Lytechinus pictus: one gene and its partner. The protein of the gene in region 1 purifies or fractionates together with the protein of each later gene. This does not show direct contact. Links are inferred from orthologs where the notes say so. Each region holds a gene or a part of one and is shown on either strand. Other genes may lie near its edges. The genes, in order: testis-specific gene 10 protein-like and WD repeat-containing protein WRAP73-like.

Region 1 (11,125 bases):
TTGATTCATTTTATCAACTCTCAAATGGTAGGTTACATGTAAACTGTATTATTAATAATTCACCATGATCGTAATGCGGATGGGGGTAAAATCTGAACACATTAACCCAAGGATAATGCAAAATGAAAAAGGCAAATACAAATCTCTATCTTGACTTGGACTTCTCAGCAATGAAGACACCCCCATTGATGGGGGGGGGGGAGGGGGTGGTTGTTGTGCTCATCCAATGTGTACTGTATGAAATTGTGAATTTTGCTTTCATTGATTTAATTTATTGCATATTTTAATTTCCATGATTCATTTATTTGGGGAAAAACAATCAGTTTTCACACTTTTAGATTACATCATGGCAAATTGCCAATTATTATGGTCTCAGGAGTAAGCCACTATCCCTCTATCATATCATCTTGTCGTTGCAAACAACGCCCTTACCAGCAGGCATAGGGGCATTTCTGCACTGATGGGGTGCACAAAAATGTTTTGCTAAGGGCGTTCTTGCACTGAAAGGACAAAATTTGAACTAACCAAAGCTATGTATGGTTATGGGCTTGCATTATTTCCTATATTATTATTTTTTTATGAACAGGTTGATTATCAGAACTGAATTCAGAGCTGCTCCTGTCTGTAGTAACATCTTATTAGAGTGGACTTCAGAATGAGGGTGTTGCTGGTTTAAAAACTTCACTCCATGGAGCTCTCCAAAGTCATCTCAAATTAGACTGCTTCTGGAAACCAAATTTGTTCCTTCAAGCAGAGAAGCTTGTGGCTTTCCTGACTGGACTTCTATGGATTCTTCTTGCCAACATTAAGGACTGTGGGCTGACATTCAGTGGTAAAACACTTGATGAAGATGATATGAATTTTTATTTGATATAAATGAATCTCAGAAGTAATTCCTCAGGAGTAAGAAACAATGAAAATTAAAAATAAAAGGTCAATCAATAATGAATGTCTTGAGCAGTGTTCTTTTTGTGCATAGATCAATGGATCTTTTCATTTCCAAGCAGGGATGTAGTCAATGCTGACCTCGAGACAACATTTTGCTGGCCTTGGTCCGAGTCACTGTACAGAATCTATGGGAAGTTCTCTCAAGCTGCCTCATGACTCGGAAGAATCAGCCTCGACCTCATCCCTGTATGCAAGTGTGATATATATCTACCATGCAATCTCATGATTAAAGAGAGAGAAACAAGAGAGCTTCAGATTTTGAAGTGTAGCAATCTCCTGAAATGTATGTTTTATTTGAAAATCAAACTAAAATAACTTAATTGGGCATGTTATTCATTATGATATTTATGAATGAAAGCATTGAAGCAATTTGGTGCTCTTGCAAAACAAATTCTGAGTTGTATTTACTGCAAACCCTCAGAAATATTGATAAACATTTGCCAGTGCATGAAGTGTTTTAATGAAGAGTGGCTTTTTTGTGCCTATGGAGAATTGATATTTCTTCAATATTTTTTTATACAAATTATTTCAGAAATCACAATTTGAATATTCCATGACCTCTGATAACAAGAGCAGAATATTTTTGGTGATTAATTGACACACTTTAAAATGATATTAGGAGAGAATGTAGTGAAATTGTGTGAAAATAATGGCATAATTGCTGAAGAGGCCTATAAGATTGAAAATAACATTATTTCAAGTTTTTCTTGAAAAAAACCCATGGAAAATTGAAAATGGCATAATTTACACAATTTTTCAAAACAAAATACAAAAAGAAAATTTTTGCAGAATTTTTAGTACACAAGCCTATGGACAATCAATTGAACGTAAATCAAACGCAAATTTTGCGCATCCTCCAAAATCTCACATAAGTTACGTTCGATTTGCAATCAATTGCAAAGCTTGCGCTTGATCTACGTTCAATTGATCAAACGCAACTTCTTCTTGCAACAGGATTGAACGTAACTTGCGTTCAATTGCAGATTTGCGTTTAATCGGAGGACTTACGCTCAATTTTGGGAGTTGCGTTCGATTTGCGTTCAATCGCAAGTTTCTTGCAACACCCCAATAGTCAGGCACATTAGACTTGTCAGTCATTCATAGCACCTCCAGCCCCACTAATATATTGTTTATATTCTTCTGTTTACAGCAACATAGTGATAAATATCTTTTTAACCCTAACTACATGTAGGCCATTTTATTGTTATTATTTTTATTATTGATTAATTAATTAATTAATCAATCAATTCATTCATTCATTCATTTTATTATTATTGTTTTATTTAATTAATTAATTTATTTATTTATTTACTTACTTACTTATTTATTTTTATTTATTTATTATATTATTATTTTTTTTTTGTTGGGGGGGGTGATCAACTCCCAACCTTCCCCCTCCCGAGATCTTAGCCGCCGATCACGTGAGCGCCGCAAATAATTGCACGATTTTAGTGTGATATGTAAATCAACAAAGCTGTGTTGTTAATTTTGGGGCTTTTTATGTTGATGTATGTCTGTGTTTAATTCTTTACATGTAAACAAAGTTTTTAGAATGCAGATGTCGCATTCCGAACAATTATGTTTAAAATGAACTAGGTTTGAAGATAAATACCAGTTGTGGACTTGTGGTAATGATCTCAAATGAGTTCGAACAGAATCCAATGAAATTACCAGCAAAGTGTTTGTGATATGTATAAATATAAAATATGTGCCAAACAGCTCTTAGAAGAACATGCGTTATTGCTGAGAAATTTGCAAAATGAGCACGGAATTCCATCAAATGTCGGGTTAACATGTATTTCGAAGCAATATTAATACACTGTCCCACATGCTTTTCATCAAAATTATCGATTTTGAGCTAATATTTCATTATTTTACAAAGATTAGTTTACATTAATTTTTGTACCAGATCTATGTGTAGGATGATACTTTGACAATTAACTTGAATTTCAAAGACTTGCATGAAATAATTGTTCGCTGCAACTACTGTCTTTTACCTTTAAAATGAATTTCTTATCTGTTTTATTTGTAGGTTTTAATTTTAAAATCCCTTCCCGGCCGGCGGCCGTCACAAATTTTATTTAGAAAGACTTGATAGTAAAACTAAAAAGTAAGCAAGCGGTGTAGTAAAAATCGCCGCATTAATATGTCATTTGTTAATCTAAGGTTTGGGTAAATGTAATCATGTAAATAGATAAAATGAGATCTTTATATGGTTTTCATTGTCGGACAGACGGTCATCACTCTCAGCATGCGATAAATATTTAATTCTTTTATTTTGGAGAGTGTGTTTGGTTTCACGGTACACCATCTATTCTTTCGTGGGCATATGTTGGTCCTGAAAAGGACCACCCAAACTCGACGTTTCGACAAGGGTGTTTTTGTCATCTTCAGGAGAATGAGCCAAAATTTGTGAAAACAGACCTTCTCTGTCAGGGTGTCGCATGTATCTTTTATTTTGCTTGTTTGAAAGTATACATGTATGATGAAGAAAAGGAGAAGAAATAGTAAAGAAACAGACCCTGTCCCAACAAACAATATTCAAATTAAAAAAAACAGTGAAAAAAAAATATGTGAGGTGACGGAAAGAATAGGAAATGACTTAGTGAAGAGGAATAAGTACATTGTAAGTAATAACAATGAGGAAGAATAGATTAGAAAAATATATTTAGGGCCTGATCGAAGTTGGTCTCTCTGATAAAAGAAACATCTTCAAAAACAAGCATGAACAGAAGAGAAGAAGAAAAAAAAAATTGTGAATGATGGGGGGGGGGGGATGAGAATGAGAAGAAAAGTAGAGGAGTAAAAATTCAAGAGAAATGACAAGCAGCAAAAGAGGGAGGATTAGGAGAATGAATTTATAAGTGATATGATATCGGGGAAAATATTGTGAAAACAAATTTCAGGAACAGAAGAGAATGAGAAGAAGAAACGAATATCAGGGAGTAACCTGCGAGCTCCCTGCGAACATGAAGCAATATGCAACAGAAGAGGAGAATAAAGAAAAGCGGAGAATGAAATTGTAAATGATGATCAAAAGGATGGGGGAAGAAATATTACAAAAATGCAGGAATAGAAGAGAAGTTGAAGAAGAAATAAAAATGCAAAGGATATCTTGTAATGGTAGGATAGAGAAAAAAGAAGATTGCGAATTCCAGGAAACAACAAAACTTTAAAAAATAGACATGCGGGGGGGGGGGAGAAATGATGACTACACTGTATAGGGTAAAATTTTAGCACGAGGGTTATGTGTCCAACAAATTTGGGGCAGTATTTTATTCAATGCGGGAAGCATATTGTCCAGTAAGGTTAAAATATAAGCAGCAATTACTTAAGAAACTGAAAGGCAAAATTTTCATCACACTGGATAAATAAAATTGCCCGAAAGAAATGCCCAAAGTTGGTTGGACAAATAATTACCCCATGGAGCATTTTTACCCAATATTTTTTTTTAGAGTAGATGAATCTATTGTGTATGGACTCTGGAGACAACATCTTGAACATGTAAATAAAAAAAAATCAAATAATCGCAGAAAAATGAAAGAAGAAAATAAAGGTGGGATGAGAAAGCCAAGATGAGTTTTTGAAATTTTTAAATCAAAGAAATGATGTAGGACGAAATAATTATTTTGCAAATTTTGGAAATTTTCCGGGAAATTTCATGTACCTGAAAAAGGAACATTCTTAGGACTCGTTTGTAGGAATCAGTTAAAATACATATTTTACCAATCAAATAATGCGAGCGCGAAGCACCAGCTGAAATACTTTGATATTTATAACGTAAAACGGGACGTGTTACGCTCTTTGTGCAATCATAAACAGGATCCTTATCTTACCAAATGAACAATGTGAGCGCAAGGTGCGAGCTGAAATATTCACATCAAATGCTGTTACAATATCTTTGAAAACCTATCTTCTATCTATCTTCTATCTTCAGTCAATTACAAGCCCCCTTATTCTAGGTGAGTAGGTCGATACAATTAAAACAAAATGACGCCCCTAATTTCAAGACCATATTAGAATTAATCCCTAGATATTTTTACAACCCTTTTTTTCCTCTTTTTACGGTTTCACCATTTTTTTCCTCTCTTATTTTCTCTATTTCCCTCCCCGTTTTGATATACCTACTGTATTTCGCTTACCAGGGCGGGCGGGGTGAACTCCCAATACTTTTGAAGTGATTGTGCTCCTAATGTTTTACGTCTATTTTCTTCCCGGGGGGCCACTTCCACTGACGAGTTAGTCTAGTTCTAGACGATTTTAAACGAATCTATTTGCACCACGATATAATACGTTCTATTCCGTGCGTACGCCCAGCCGAGTGTGCGCGCAAAACCGAGAACCTGTACTCCTCGGACTATTTGCACCACGATATAATACGTTCTATTCCGTGCGTACGCCCAGCCGAGTGTGCGCGCAAAACCGAGAACCTGTACTCCTCGGAGTACAGGTTCTCGGTTTTGCGCGCACACTCGGCTGGGCGTACGCACGGAATAGAACGTATTATATCGTGGTGCAAATAGATTCGTTTAAAAGAACCTGTACTCCTCGGAGTACAGGTTCTCGGTTTTGCGCGCACACTCGGCTGGGCGTACGCACGGAATAGAACGTATTATATCGTGGTGCAAATAGATTCGTTTAAAATCGTCTAGAACTAGACTACTGACGAGTGGATACCATGCGCGACCATGGGGTCTCGAAAAGCACCCTAAACACGTATTTTCCATATTCTGAAAATGCACCCCTTAACAAGTATTGGCGTGTGAAACCCTACCCTTAACAAGTATTGGAAACAAACGATACTCTTTGCAAGTATTCCCTGAAATGAACCCCTAAACAAGTACAGGAATATTTTATTATGTCACGGGTCCTTCGGTCGTCGGTTTTACCTTTACACATCATTTGGTTTAGTACGACCCCACCTTCCACACCTCGTGCAAATCGGACTCTAAACACGTAGTGTTGGGGCAAAAAGGACATCCTTTATAAAACATTTTAGTAGGTCCATGGTTTTATCATCCCCGCAAATTTGACCCTAAACACGTAACTTTTCTAGCGAAATAGATACCTTTTTTCATTATTTTTGTGTTTTTGACACCCTTATGCCCTATCTTGAAAAAAGACATCCTTTTTACGTGTTTTTTGGGTCGCGCATGGTATCAACTCGTCTCAATGTAAGTGGCCTCCCGGGATTTTTTTACATTACATTTGTCAATTTTTTTTTATTTATCACAAAATTTTTAAAAGTAAGTGGTGCTCACTCAAGGGGAAACATGTCGGCATTTATGTTGTAATAAACATGTACCAGTATAAAGATATGGAAAGGACTCAGGATATCACAAATATTATTTTGTTTTTTAGTTTTTTTTTGTGGTATACTTCTTTTTATACAATGCATAAGAAGAGTGGAAGAGGCCGCTATTACTGCAGAACCAAAAATTTGGAATATTAATTTTGTTTTTACCAGGGAATTAGTTTTACCATGCGTTGGGTCCCCCCTCGAAATTCCAGTTATGTAATATTTACGAACTACTCACCAGATTAGTTGATCAAGAAACTGATAAATATAAAAGAGTTGCTAGGCAAGTGTAAACATTTATATGCAAATGATTTCATGCTGGCTGCGCTGCGAATTTCGATGAATTTAATTTAGCGAATATTTTGTTCCATTCAGGATTTTTCTTTTAATAGCGATAGACGTCGCGTCATAAATCATCACTTTTGTTGGAGACCATCGAAGCGTGGACGGGTGTCCTTGTAAGAGATACGAATGAATGAAGAGAAATAGAGAGAGAGCTAGAGAGAATTCAATGGATCTTTTTTTACTTTACAATGGGAAAGGCTTGGGTCAAAGGGCACACCGCGATCGTTGAATGAATGCGGTGGTGGAAATTCAGTTAGGATTTGAATGCAAATACAAATACTACGAGATCAGCTGTAGCTTGCGATCGCCTTGTCGGCTGCTAGTACTACAACGCTCTTGGTCGATTCAAATGTCTTTTTTTATGGATATAGATATAGGAGCTTAAAATGTCAGGACGACACGGGAGCGGAAGAAAATCCAAATCGAGGACTAGGGTGAGATAAATTGCTGTTGCTTTATTGCTGGGTGAAGTTTTGATCATTCTTTGAATTGACTTAGCTGTATTACACACGTAGAAGAACATGAAAAACATGTCGGCAGGGACGCTTACTGAACCACAGGCTAGTAACGGTTCGATGCGATGGCAGGTGTTTTTCTGCTTGACTATTCACTGTTCACCTTTTTTAGTTCTACTTCCCATGGTCATACAATATGGCTAGCATCGAATTTATTTTATGAATTGTAGATATAACATCACTCAATCATGTTGATTTTTTTTGCCTTGCATTGCAAGAAAATTCCTCTTCATTTACTGGAAAAAAAATGGTTATGAATTTATTTCATGAATTGTAGATCTATATAACATCACTAAATAATGTTGAATTTTTTTTGCCTTGCATTGCAAGAAAATTCCTCTTCATGAGACTTGAGTCTGAGAAGCGTTCCCCCCCTCTTTCAACATGCCTCAATCTGATACAAAATATGATTGGATAAGGAAGAAGAGGATGTGGGGTGGGGTGTTATTTTCTACATCTGCCATTTTACCCTACTTCATTAGATATGCATCATTGAGAGAAAATAAAGGTGCAGCAAGGCAATTAAATGGGAATAATTAAATGGGAAGCTACCACTTTTGGTTTTAGGACTCTTATTCAGATCCAGATAAAAAGGCCCGAATTCACAAAGGTGGTTTTTAAAACCCATGGTTGAGTCCATGGTTTATGCAGATTTCCTGTATAAATTACGCTTATTTTACCACGTATGTTAAAAAATGTCCAATGCTGATGCACGTTTTTGTCACAGTGAGCCAAATTGACGCCTGTGAATTGCGGTGGTTATCCACGCTATTTTATTCACGAGTCCACTGTTTTTATTCATGAGTCCACTCTTCAAACAGTGGACTTGTGAATAAAATAGCGTATCTAACCATGGTAACAGGCGTCAATTTGGCGCACTGACAAAAGCGCGCATCAGCATAGGATATCTTTAATACACGCACCCGATACGCGCTAAATTAAGCGTAATTTATACAGGAAATCTGCATAAACCATGGATTCAACCGTGGGTTTTCAAAACCACCTTTGTGAATTCGGGCCAAAGGGTCCGTCTGAGTATGTTATACTGTATGCCCAGTTTCTGAAATGATTTGGGTCATATGAACTTTTTTCATGGAATATGACCATTTTAATCAGAACTTGGAAATCAGATTGAAACATATCCATTGAAAAATAACAGCTAATAATTTGTTAATATTTTATTTTGTGACATGTGACCAGCTGCCAATATGTCATGTGATATATTATTAACCATTTAATTTCAATTTTAAAATAGACCACTTTTACATGTTAAAGGAGAATGAAACCCTTGAAACCAGCTGAATCCATATCAAAGAGAAAAATCAAAGAAACATATTGTTGAAAGTTTGAGGAAGATTGAATGAATAATAAGAAAGTTATGAGCATTTGAAAATTGAGATCACTAATGCCATGTAGATCCTCCCATTGGCAATGCAACCAAGATATGTGATGTCACACACGTACAACTGTCCCTCATTACTTTAGTACTTATTTCACTTATATTCTCACTTTTATAGAGTCTATCACAAGGTGAGGTGTTCTCTTTATGAGAGGACAAGTACAGAGGTTTCACAACATTATATCAATGATGAATCATTTGTCATATGATTAGAATGAGCAAAAATAGATGTTTTGGGGTACATTTTCAGTGTCCAAAAAGGGAGAGTTGTCCAGTTTTGGACACTGAAAATATACCCCAAAACATCTCTTTTTGCTCATTCTAATCATATGACAAACGATTCATCAATGATATAATGTTGTGAAACCTCTGTACTTGTCCTCTCATAAAGAGAACACCTCACCTTGTGATAGACTCTATAAAAGTGAGAATATAAGTGAAATAAGTACTGGAGTAATGAGGGAGTTGTACGTGTGTGACATCACAGATCTTGGTCGCATTGCCAATGGGAGGATCTACATGGCATTAGTGATCTCAATATTCAAATGCTCATAACTTTCTTATTATTCATTCAATCTTCCTCAAACTTTCAACAATATGTTTCTTTGATTTTTCTCTTTTATATGGATTCAGATGGTTTCAAGGGTTTCATTCTCCTTTAATATGTGAAAATGAGCATTCACTAAATCATTCTGGTATTAGCAAAATGAGTGGGATTTTTTCATTGGGCAGACCTATATCAAAAGTGTGATATATAAAACTCACATGCAGGTGCTTTGTTGCTCTGTTGATGACTTACAGCAATTTTGGGATTTTGGTACAATTACACCACTTAATTCTCTTCTATTCTTCTTTCATTGACTACTTGTACAGCCATGTGTGTAGGTATCGACCTCCAGGATACCATCAGGCCTATTGTCATTCGCATCACTTTTATTATTAAATGTGTTTGTATTACATGTATGTTGTGCTCTACTACAATGTAGTTGTATTTTGAAAACTTGAAGGTATATCTGTATTTTGAATGTACATGTATTTCAGAATGTATTTTCATCAGATTGTGGAAGCAATTAAACTGGTACAAAATTTTAGAACATGTCCTAGAATTTTTATGTTGCTATCATTAGGACACATGCCTGATGCTATATATGTAGGATTTTTAAAATCAGTGATTACATGTATATTATGGGAAAAAATCACACAAGTTAAATTGTTTTTTATTGATATTTCTCTCAATTTCAATTTGGTTTTAACTTTAATACCAGTACAACCTGCTAATAAAACACAACAAATGAGAATTTTTTCTCAAACTCTGATTTAAAGAAAAGCACATCAGATGCTGCATACATTAGGCATATTCCTTTCCTGAATTTCATTTTGTTAAATCCATTCTGTTTGATTTTGTCTTCAATTTTTAACCATCATTTTCATGTTTTTCTTGTCTGTGTTTAGGTTGACAATCGAGATCAAGAAATAACCCGTTTGAGTCGTCAACTAGAAGGTGGTCGACCCCTTGATGTGATGTCAAATGAAGCCAAGAATCGTAGCAATGAAAGGCTTATATCCCATCTTAATATACAGGTAGGTTTATATTCATTTAGTGTGATGTCAAATGAAGCCAAGAATCGTAGCAATGAAAGGCTTATATCCCAACTTAATATACAGTGCGTCCCAGAAAAAACGAAACCGAGATTAAGCGATGATTTATCATAACTTAATCACAAATACAATAGACAAATGACCTACCAATGTAAAGCTTAGAATCTCTGCTTTCATCTGATATTACTTAGATTATTCCCCATTCACGCATGAGTGAGCGAAAACAATTTGAAGAAAGGATACCAAAAACTCATTTGGCGGGGGGTATCTGAATTTCAAAAAGAAAATCACATGCCTAAAAAGTTCAATATCTGCTCTTTTATTTGATACCTTAATCACAAAAAATGGTCAAGAAGTAAAAAATTTATGTTCCCTCGAAACAATGCTTGTATTTCCATTATTTCATTAAATAAACGTGTTTTCATCGGTTTCCCACAAAAGCTATCGCATGGTTAACAAAAGACTTAATGCATGGCTGATCGTCAACAAAACGGAGTGTCAAGTGAGTTTGAACGCTAGCCTGTAGAACCTCTTAATTTTATGAAATTATTGAAATTCAAGCCTTATTTCAAATAACCATAGCTTTGTTATTTCTTGACCATTTTCTGTAATTGAGGTATCAAATTAAAGAGCAGATATTGAACTTTTTAAAAATGTGGTTTTCTTTTTGAAACCCAGATACACCCCGCCAAATGACTTTGTGGTATCCCCTCTTCAAATTGTTTTTGCTCACTCATGCATGATTGAGGAATAATCTAAGTAATTTCAGATTAAAGAGGAGATTCTAAGCTTTACAATGGTAGGTCATTTGTCTATTGTATTTGTGATTAAGTTATGATAAATCATCGCTAAATCTCGGTTTCGTTTTTTGTGGGACGCACTGTACAGGTAGGTATATATTCATTTAGTGTGATGTCAAATGAAGCCAAGAATCATAGCAATGAAAGGCTTATATCCCATCTTAATATACAGGTAGGTTTATATTCATTTAGTGTGATGTCAAATGAAGCCAAGAATCAT
Region 2 (11,117 bases), on another chromosome or scaffold:
CTTTAATCTCTAGGAGCCTCCTGGCTAGTTGTGACCACTCACACTAGTGTGAGGTTAGTACTTTATTTTATTTTATCTGCCAAATACATTAAAAAGTGATTAAATCATTTTATTTTGTTCTCTATCAATTTTTAGATTTCCCAAAGCTGGTTCAGCCCATCTAAAGGAATGGCTGGTCAAGATGAAAAGAGACAAGTGGACACCGAGCAAGTATGCCACCCTGTGCTCAGACCACTTTGAAGCAGAGTGCTTTGACCGCACTGGCCAGACAACCAGGCTCCGTCATGGTGCAATTCCAACCATATTCAACTTCCACCGGCAAAGGATTTTTTTTTTTTTTTTTACCAGATTGCAAAATTTGGGAATGGAAGTGCCAGCAACTTTCCCTTGTTTTATGCATGCTACAAATTACAAAAAATACATCTTTCCAGAAAAAATTGTAATTCATGCTGATGCCTTTAGAAGTTTAGCCAGCATGCAACTGATGCAAGGAAACAAGCACAGAATGTCTGTCCATTCAAACACCAATAGTGTGCATGTCTCACACAATTTGTAAATATGTAGCCTTAATGGTGTTGCATTATTAAAACATTGACTTTCCTTATCATTGCAATGTTAATTATTGTTATCCATTCAGGCTGATGAATGATCTTAACAAGAAAACTTAAAGACTTGATCATGTGTATAGTACCGTAATGTGTATTCAAAACATGCCTTTATTAGTGTTGCAATATAAACATTTCATTGGACTCTTTCTTTATCATTACAATATGAACTATTACCAGGTATATCCGTCTGGACTGATGGTTTTATCAAGACAACTAGCACAAAATGTCTGTCCGTTCAAGCACCATGAATTCTAGTAGAGTGTGCATGTCTCACACAAAATTGGAAATTTATAGCATAAGCCTTGATCATGTGTTCAGTGCCAAAATTTCTATTCAAAACTTGCCTTGATAGTGTTGCAATATTTACATTTCATTTGACTCTTTCATTATTGCAATATCAATACATGTACTTATTGATAATCCAAAAGAATTTTATCAAGACAGCTAGCACAAGATGTCTAACCATTCAAGCACCGTATATTCAAGTATAGTGTGCATGTCTCACACAAAATTGTAAATTTATAGCTTAAGCCTTGATCATGTGTTCAGTGCCAAAATATCTATTCAAAACTTGCCTTAATAGTGTTGCAATATTTTGTCTCTTTCATTATTGCATTATGAATACATATAATTGTTGATGATTAAAAAATAAATGTCATGTGTACGGGTAAATGCCATGTCATTTATTTTGTATGCTACCTAGTGCTAGAGAAATAATATATTTTCAGGGTTATTCTAAATCTGCAACACATTTTCTTTTTGAGTTTTAAATAAAGAAATTCTTTATTTTGATGAAAATTTGAAAGCAGCTAAATGTATTAGTCTATACATACCTTGAAATTTACATGTATATGTTCACTATGTATTAAGTAATACATGTACATATTCCACGCTTGAAAAATATGTGAACAAGTAGAGGCAAATCTGACGAACAAAACACTGAAATTATATAAGTATTGGAAGAGGAATACAACCACAGAAATTATACATGTACAGCCCACCTATTGCATATTCTTCATGGCATGCAAAAAGCTGTTTTCAGAAAAAGTTGCCAAAATTTGGAATTCAATAACTCAATTATTTTTTCTAATCACATTTTCATTTAGATTTCTTGTGATTAGTGCTCATTAATTAGATATCATTTTTATATTTTGAAGTACTGGTGCACCTGTAGGCAGATGCTCCCCATTTGCATACTAACCAGGATGTACTGTACCTATAATTGTTTATGATGGAAAGTGAATTTTTTTCAGTGTTTTACAATCTATGTTTTGTTTGATTTTTCTTTTATTTAACTGATTTTACTGGTGGGATAAGTTTAAATATGTTCCAAGTTTAAAGGAAACTACAGTATACTCTACGTGCACAATAATACACACATGTACTTCCGAATCCTTGTACTCCTATGTTGATTCTATCATACGATATTCAATATTTGCTCAATCTCATACTAGTACAGCATACATATAACATGCTGTGAAATTTTGGATAGGTACAGTATGCGAATTAAATATAGATGTTTTTACACTTCTCGATGAACGGTATTCCTTAATGATTTTATGCAGTTAATTGACACAAATAAGTTGATTTTATTGCTGTAACTGCATGAAGTTCAGCTTCAGATTGGTTTTTCGTAAAGATTACGTTTGGCTTATGGACGACTTGTGATCTTGTGGAGTCAACTCATTTCCTGAAAATATACATGTATTGTACACCACTTCAGTACTATTTTGTTTGTGTGCTGTTCTGCAGTATATTTATCTATCATTTCTTGTATTTTTAACAAGAATCTTTATCACATTTCTTATTGCCACAGCTCAGAAATAAATATTGTTCACATCAAACTCTTGAAACCATGGAATCAATTTTTTATGTCATTAACTGACTTGCTCATATTGACATTTATTATTAGCAAATAGAAAAAAAGGCAGAAGAGGAGAAAGATATTAAAAACATAAGGAGGTAGTGAGAAAGGCAGAATTGGAAAGAGAATTGGATTCTCCGAGCAAAGTGAGCGAATACAAATTCAGCACTTAACGAAGAGAAAGAGATGGGTGAAAAGAACTGGCAGAAGTGAGAGAGAGAGAAATCAAGAGGAGAGGGGGCAGAAATAATTGCCAAGATTTATTGGATGACATGAGAGGGAGAGGGGGATAAAGAGAGAAGTTGGGCAGAAGCAATGTTGGATAAAACTAAAGAAAGAGAATGGGGACATTCAAGAGAAAAAGGGGCAAGAATAATTTCCAAGAGCCATTAGATGGCTATAGAGGGAAGAAGGATAAATGGAGAGGGTGGGCAGAAAATTTGTGATAAAAATAAAGGAGGAGAATCAAGAGAAAAAGGGAAGAAAAAAATTACCAAGAACAGACAGATATAGCTAGTAGAGAGGGGGCAGAAGAGCTGTTAGATAGAAGCATGAAAGGGGAAGGCAGAAAAAACTAACAAGTGGCAAATAGAAGAGAGAGAAAAAATAATAATCAAAATTAAATGCCCGTTTCATGATGAATGAATTCACAATTTCAATTCAGCAAAGTGCTCTAGCTGTGAACGCATACAGTAGACGCCCGGGATCTTTGCTCTACACAAGATGGCGGCGTGTGCGCTCGAGCGGGGCCATCGTGGTGTGTGTACGGTGAATGACAACAATCCTTCTACGTGTATTATATTTCTGTGTATCACACACGTACAACTCCCTCATTACTTTAGTACTTATTTCACTTATATTCTCACTTTTATAGAGTCTATCACAAGGTGAGGTGTTTTCTTTATGAGATGACAAGTACAGAGGTTTCACAACATTATATCATTGATGAATCGTTTGTCATATGATTAGAATGAGCAAAAAGAGAAGTTGGGGTATATTTTCAGTGTCCAAATGGGAGAGTTGTACGTGTGTGACATCACAGATCTTGGTCGCATTGCCAATGGGAGGATCTCCATAGCATTAGTGATCTCGACATTCAAATGCTCATAACTCTTTTATTGCTAGTCCTATTTTACTCAAAGTTTTGTTGATCTTATTCTTTGATTTTGCTGCTTTCACAAAAGCTAACTTGCTCCAAGAGTTTCATTCTCCTTTAATTACTACAAAACACACAACGACAACACAGAGATGATAATCTCGTGGTGAAAATATCACCAACAGACCAATTTTAACATATAAGTGCCTCTTTTTGGCTTTGCCCCCCAACGAAATTACGTTTGGCCCCTTCCCATCCTCATAACAATTGAAAATGAAATGGTGTTTCTACCCCCCCCCCCCCCTCCACAAACGCTTGCCCTTCCAGTTTTTCCGGTTTCGCAACAGATCATTTCATTTTCGGATTAACGAACCTTATTTCATTTTCGGATTGACGAGCCTTCGGAATAACGCCACAAATGTTCGGACTAACGAACCTCTTATCGTTTTCGGATTAACGTACATCGAGGTATAGGCACTTAACATGTTTTGGAATTACGAACCTTCAGAATAGTAAAACTTCGGAATAACGATCCTTCGGAATTACGAAGTGTCACCAATTATTTCCCCCTCTTTCACGGCATGGACCTATTGGTTGTACGTCCATGGTCACAGCAAAGCAACGCTTTTGAGGCCTCATCTCTGTATAAGCCGACTGACTTACTTTCATATAACCGAGTGGTCCTATCTGTACATCAATCAGAGCATCAAAATGAAATCCTCCTTACACGGTAGGTTTTTAATTATTTTTCCGACACCAAATTATGTCAAAATAAATAGTCCCATCCAAGCTAAAATTGAAGATAATACATCCAATCAAGTTGAGAATCAAATTCAAACCAGAAACTTTTAGCGTCCTTTCTCGCTTTTCACAGTAATTGTTATTGCCTTCTATTTATTCACGCCTACGTGTTGCCGGAATTTCCCATTTTCCTTTACTATGTTGCACTGGCGTAAATCCGTGTTGATGGGTGGGGGGGATGACTGAAATATTTTGGCATTTTTTTGCAATCATGTTATTAGATATGCAAGGAATTGTCATTGATATGTCCACAGTGGCGTACCGTGGGTCACGGCATTGGGGGGGGGGCACCAGCAAAATTTTTGAATGACTGAGTGAGTGACCTAATAGAGACATTTTAAGGACAATGTCATTAAACGGATATGTATCTCACTCATCAAATAATGCGAGCGCGAAGCGCGAGCTGAAATTTGTTTATATTCACACCTAAAAAGGGACATTATAATCAAATTTGTGTAATCATGATAGGTACCTGTCTCGCTTAAAAATGCGAGCGCGAAGCGCGAGCTGAAAACTTAGATAATTCAGACCTGAAGTGGGGCATTCTAAGTTTTCTTTGTAGGAATTAACCAGGACCATACGTATTTCATTAACCAAATGATGCGAGCGCGAAACGCGGGCTGAAAATTTTTGATATTCAGATCAGAAGAAGGGACATTTTAAGGACTGATTTTAGGAATTCATGAAGAGTAGACATATCTCAACAATCCATTAAAAATGCGAACGTAATCACGGACAGGAAATGTTTCATATATACGAAGACCTTAACATGGGGCAATCACTTTTGAGTCATGAAAAAAAAGCATATGTCACTACATAAAACAATGATAACTCAAGTGCTAGGAAATATATTTGGTTTATATTGACTTGAAAACGGGATGTTTTGGTACAACAGGATTATATATCTCGTTTAACAGACAATGCGAGCACCAGGAACAATTGAGACGTAGGCCCTGGGCAAATTATGTTTTATAAAGTTATGATAAAAATGTTTCTTATGTAATGTAACTTAACATAATTATAATATAATATAACATTATAATGAATAATATTTTCTTCTCTACGTGCACAATAATACACACATGTACTTCCGAATCCTTGTACTCCTATGTTGATTCTATCATACGATATTCAATATTTGCTCAAACTCATACTAGTACAGCATACATATAACATGCTGTGAAATTTTGGATAGGTACAGTATGCGAATTAAATATAGATGTTTTTACACTTCTCGATGAACGGTATTCCTTAATGATTTTATGCAGTTAATTGACACAAATAAGTTGATTTTATTGCTGTAACTGCATGAAGTTCAGCTTCAGATTGGTTTTTCGTAAAGATTACGTTTGGCTTATGGACGACTTGTGATCTTGTGGAGTCAACTCATTTCCTGAAAATATACATGTATTGTACACCACTTCAGTACTATTTTGTTTGTGTGCTGTTCTGCAGTATATTTATCTATCATTTCTTGTATTTTTAACAAGAATCTTTATCACATTTCTTATTGCCACAGCTCAGAAATAAATATTGTTCACATCAAACTCTTGAAACCATGGAATCAATTTTTTATGTCATTAACTGACTTGCTCATATTGACATTTATTATTAGCAAATAGAAAAAAAGGCAGAAGAGGAGAAAGATATTAAAAACATAAGGAGGTAGTGAGAAAGGCAGAATTGGAAAGAGAATTGGATTCTCCGAGCAAAGTGAGCGAATACAAATTCAGCACTTAACGAAGAGAAAGAGATGGGTGAAAAGAACTGGCAGAAGTGAGAGAGAGAGAAATCAAGAGGAGAGGGGGCAGAAATAATTGCCAAGATTTATTGGATGACATGAGAGGGAGAGGGGGATAAAGAGAGAAGTTGGGCAGAAGCAATGTTGGATAAAACTAAAGAAAGAGAATGGGGACATTCAAGAGAAAAAGGGGCAAGAATAATTTCCAAGAGCCATTAGATGGCTATAGAGGGAAGAAGGATAAATGGAGAGGGTGGGCAGAAAATTTGTGATAAAAATAAAGGAGGAGAATCAAGAGAAAAAGGGAAGAAAAAAATTACCAAGAACAGACAGATATAGCTAGTAGAGAGGGGGCAGAAGAGCTGTTAGATAGAAGCATGAAAGGGGAAGGCAGAAAAAACTAACAAGTGGCAAATAGAAGAGAGAGAAAAAATAATAATCAAAATTAAATGCCCGTTTCATGATGAATGAATTCACAATTTCAATTCAGCAAAGTGCTCTAGCTGTGAACGCATACAGTAGACGCCCGGGATCTTTGCTCTACACAAGATGGCGGCGTGTGCGCTCGAGCGGGGCCATCGTGGTGTGTGTACGGTGAATGACAACAATCCTTCTACGTGTATTATATTTCTGTGTTCCCAGCCCATCGGGGAAATCAGGGAAAATTATTTACTTTTTTCCAGTCATGGAAAAATCAGGGAATTCGATATAAAATACCTCAAATGAGGGGAAAATCAAAGAATTTTGATCAGCCTTTGGGCTGCCCAAAGGTCGAAAGCACGGTAGTCAGCCAGACTCTGTTATATTTTGTTGTGTATCAAAACTACATCCAATGAATGACTGGTTTTGGTGGTTAATTAGTGTAGCCTCTTTGACTGCAGTACAGTACTGAAAATACATGTAATTCAATGCAACAACTTAGAAAACATGCAAAACTGGGAATGGGTTTGAATAATTATCAGGAAATTTGAAAACTTCAGGGAAAATCAAGGAATTTTGTTTAATTTAAAAGCTGGGAACCCTGATACAGTAACTGACACTGCATGACTGCACATCATATTAATGCGTTTAACATACAGAGAGACAGAAAGCTGACAAAGATTTTTAAAAGAGAGAAGGAAAATATGATTGTGTCATATCTCTGAGAAAAGATAAAATATCAAGAGAAGACAATGTTCAGAATACTGCCCCAGGAGCCTGTTGCAGAAAGAATTGCAATAATAATAATAGGCATTTATACAACGCCATCTATCTAGAAATAATCTATTCCGAGGCACGTTGTTTATTACCTTGGCTTTAGCTCGAGCTGCCTATCAGCGCTCATGCATTCAAGGAATTAATCCTGCCGGGTACCCATTCACCTCACCTGGGTCGAGTGCAGCACAATGTGGATAAATTTCTTGCTGAAGGAAATTACGCCATGGCTGGGATTCGAACCCACGACCCTCTGTTTCAAAGTCAGAAGACTAAGCCACTGAGCCACAACGCTCCACAATCATATTCGACTCCAAAACTCATAATTTCATTTTTAATTTACCTTTCAATCAAAAGCGGGTTTTAAGGACTTTATCTTTTAGTTGCTTTCAGATGCAAATTTTTCTGCATCAGATCCCTAATGACTGGCTACAGCCATGATAAATAATGGTTTTTATGTCAATATGTTTTGAAAATAAATTTTTTCCATACTCCTTTCCAGGCGAGTTGTGTCCAGTATCGGCTGATTGTTCGAGATGTGCATACTCTACAGATTCTTCAGCTTTACACATGTCTTGATGCGATCCAGTGTTTGGAGGTTAGTCACTTGATATTTTTTATCAGATTTCCTTTGAAGGTTTGTTTTTGTGATACCGATAAAGTAAAGGAGGTTACCAGATTACCATGGTTGAATGAAATTGAGTACAAATGACTCCATTCCATGGCAGTTCATTTTCATTTCTAGGATTTATTCTAGTATGTGAATTGAGACTCAAGCATGGCTCATGTACATGTAAATTCATAAGCAACATTTTTCCATGTTTAATTCAATTTGACTAGGATATAAACTTAATCAATTGATATTGATTAGTCAATTAATATTTATATATTTGCCTTGGTGGGTTAACTGAAGTGAGTACTTGAGACCGAGGAAGTCTTCTGAGACTAGGTTCAAACTTCTGGATGACTTCGTTCAAGGTTGTTTATTTGGTAACATTATTACTGCAGTCTCTGTTTATGACAGTGCTGAAAATAACTTTTTTGTATTGTTTTCTTTTTATTATAGTGGTCTTCAGATTCCAAATTTATTTTATGTGGGATGTTCAAAAGAGGGATAGTGCAGGTAAGTGTAGATTAAAAAATATAATTATTATCCTGACCATTATCAGCATCATTATCATGATGGTGATTATGATGATGGTGTGTTGCAAAGATAGACAATATTTTTATGTTGATCATGAAGATAATGAAAATGACAATGATGATGATGATCATCATCACTATCATCATTTAAATTCATTGTTTTAGCATTAAATGAATGCATCTCTTTTGAAGGGTTTACAGACATTTGCATTCTTGATTACACATTCTCTTTCTTGTTCTATCCTGTTCTCAGTTTATTAAAAGCAAACTCTGTGTATTTTTTCTTATATCTCTCCATGAACATTTTGGATTTCTCCTTTCTTCCTACAACACACTATCAAATTTGCTGTTTATAAGTTTAAGATGAAATAACAATCTTGCATGTTGTCCCTCAAGGTTGTTTACTTGGTCCAGGGGAGTACATAATCAACATTTTCGTCCGACAAGTTGTCAGATCAGACAATTTTTCAAAATTGTTTTGATTCGTTGAGAAGCACAGCTCCTGTGATAACTGTCGGATAAAACGACTTGTCAGACAAAATATCCATTCATGAAACGCCCCCCGATGTATTCTATCAATCGTATATTATAGGTATGGTCATTGGAGCAGCCTGAATGGACATGCAAGATAGATGAAGGGTCAGCTGGACTGGTCAGTGTGAGATGGAGTGCTGATGGACGTCATATCTTGACCACAGCAGAGTTCAACCTGAGGATCACGGTTTGGTCATTGGTCAACCGGTCAGTGTCCTATATCAAGTATCCTAAAGAGGCAAAGCAAGGTGAGTATTCAATTTCTGGTCTTTGCTTGTTTTTTATCCTTCATGTTATAGATGAAAATAAAAGCAGTCTTTAATTTTTATAGTAACCAAATACATATAGATTGATTAAAGTTATGTAAATGTTCTGTTGTGAATAAAATGGATGTTCTTTGATACACACAAGTTCACAGATGCAGATGTTAGTGATAATTTGATAAACTAGGAATTGCATGTGGAGCGTTGTGGCCCAGTGGATTAGTCTCCGGACTTTGAAACAGAGGGTCGTGGGTTCAAATCCTAGCCGTGGCGTAGTTTCCTTCAGCAAGAAATTTATCCACATTGTGTTGCACTCAACCCAGGTGAGGTGAATGGGTACCTGGCAGGAATTCATTCCTTGAAATGCCGAGCGCTGGAAAGGCTGCTTGAGCTACAGCCGGGGTAATAATATCCAAGTCCTTTGGAAGCGCATAGAGACGTTATTCATAATGTGTTATGCGCTATACAAGAACTGACTATTATTATTATTACATTTGCTATATTTAAGCTGAATATACTGAATGTATTTACTAACAGGTGTAGAATGAATGACATGTTGTTGCTTAATATGTGTTACTAACAAATCTGTTTATTATGTGATTATTCAATTTTTGTATGAGGATCTTATCTAATCTTTGTGAAATCAATTTATTTATTCCAGGAATGCATTTCACTAAAGACGGCAAGTACATGGCGCTAGCTGAGAGAAGGGACTGCAAGGATTTCATCAGTGTCTTTGCTTGTAATACATGGCAACTTGTTAAAGTGAGTAATTTCATTTGATCTATTGATTTGGTTCTGAACTTGAACAACTATACAAGTAATATAAAAAGATAGTGAAAGTGAACTTTCAATTATGAGCATAGCTAGAGGCCCTGTGAGCCCTGGTAGTCAATAAAGTAGTCAAGTACAAACCATAAACAGAAAACAGTGCGCTTAGAAACACCAGTAGTAAGCGCCTTATAAATGTTATGTATTATTATTATTAATAAAATAAATACAGCAAAAAAAGTGATAGGCCTGTATTTTTAGTAATCAAAGTTTATTTGATATTTGTTTCTCAAGAAAAAAGTAACCAATTATACATTATTTATTTACTTATTTATTTATTTTATTTATCTATTTATTCATTTATTTATTTTTATTTATTTATTTATTAATTAATTGATTGATTTATTTATTTTTATTTATTTATTTATTTATTAATTAATTTATTAATTTATTTATTTATATATTCATTCATTCATTTATTTATTTAGTTTATTGTTTATTTAATTACTTATTTGTTAGTTTGTTTATTTATTTTCATTTATTTATTTACTTGTTACTGATAATATTACATGGTGAATCTTGACCACAACATAAAGTAATCATAATGTTATAAAGATCTTGAATATAAACTCATAACAGCAACAAAGAATAAGAATATCTGTGAATATACAAAGTATGTATATATAAAGCATTTGTTATTCCCGTAATGAATGTTTTGTTTATTCAATTTTGTTTTGCTTTGTTTATGATTTCTTTTGTTAAATTCAAGAAATTTAGTAATGCATAAATCACAATATAGTCCTCTGGCTTCAGTAAATTGCATGTATTCCTTGTTGATGTATGTGGCAGGCTTTCAAATTGTCACGAATATCCTTTGATTACGAAAGTAATTGAAACATTTAAAATTCTACTCTTCAGCTATTCAGCTATTATTGTTTGTATCTTAGTGGAATAGTATTTTGAGTTATTGGCAAACTAAGGACTGAAGACACTCTGCAAGCCAAAAGTCAGTTTTTATTATAATGCTGTGCACAGTAAAAAAAACAACAACTTATGTTCATCCTGGACTTTCTGGCTCGTATTCTCAAAAGAGGTTTCAATT

What was found.
Region 2: the proteins of testis-specific gene 10 protein-like (region 1) and WD repeat-containing protein WRAP73-like purify together in Homo sapiens (co-immunoprecipitation; 6 studies listed by BioGRID and IntAct, counting the BioPlex papers as one, with this or other methods). This does not show direct contact. The link is inferred for Lytechinus pictus from reciprocal best matches to the Homo sapiens genes CEP135 and WRAP73.

What each region holds. Positions count from the first base shown.
Region 1 is NW_026974140.1:11,101,901-11,113,025, forward strand, and holds the start of testis-specific gene 10 protein-like, read left to right. Parts: upstream 1-6,546; 5' UTR 6,547-6,978; coding exon 6,979-7,026; intron 7,027-9,958; coding exon 9,959-10,087; intron 10,088-11,071; exon of another isoform or gene 11,072-11,101; coding exon of another isoform or gene 11,102-11,125. UniProt on the Homo sapiens protein: Centrosomal microtubule-binding protein involved in centriole biogenesis. Acts as a scaffolding protein during early centriole biogenesis.
Region 2 is NC_087258.1:23,372,505-23,383,621, reverse strand, and holds the start of WD repeat-containing protein WRAP73-like, read left to right. Parts: upstream 1-6,659; coding exon 6,660-6,704; intron 6,705-7,806; coding exon 7,807-7,902; intron 7,903-8,370; coding exon 8,371-8,427; intron 8,428-9,039; coding exon 9,040-9,229; intron 9,230-9,905; coding exon 9,906-10,009; intron 10,010-11,117.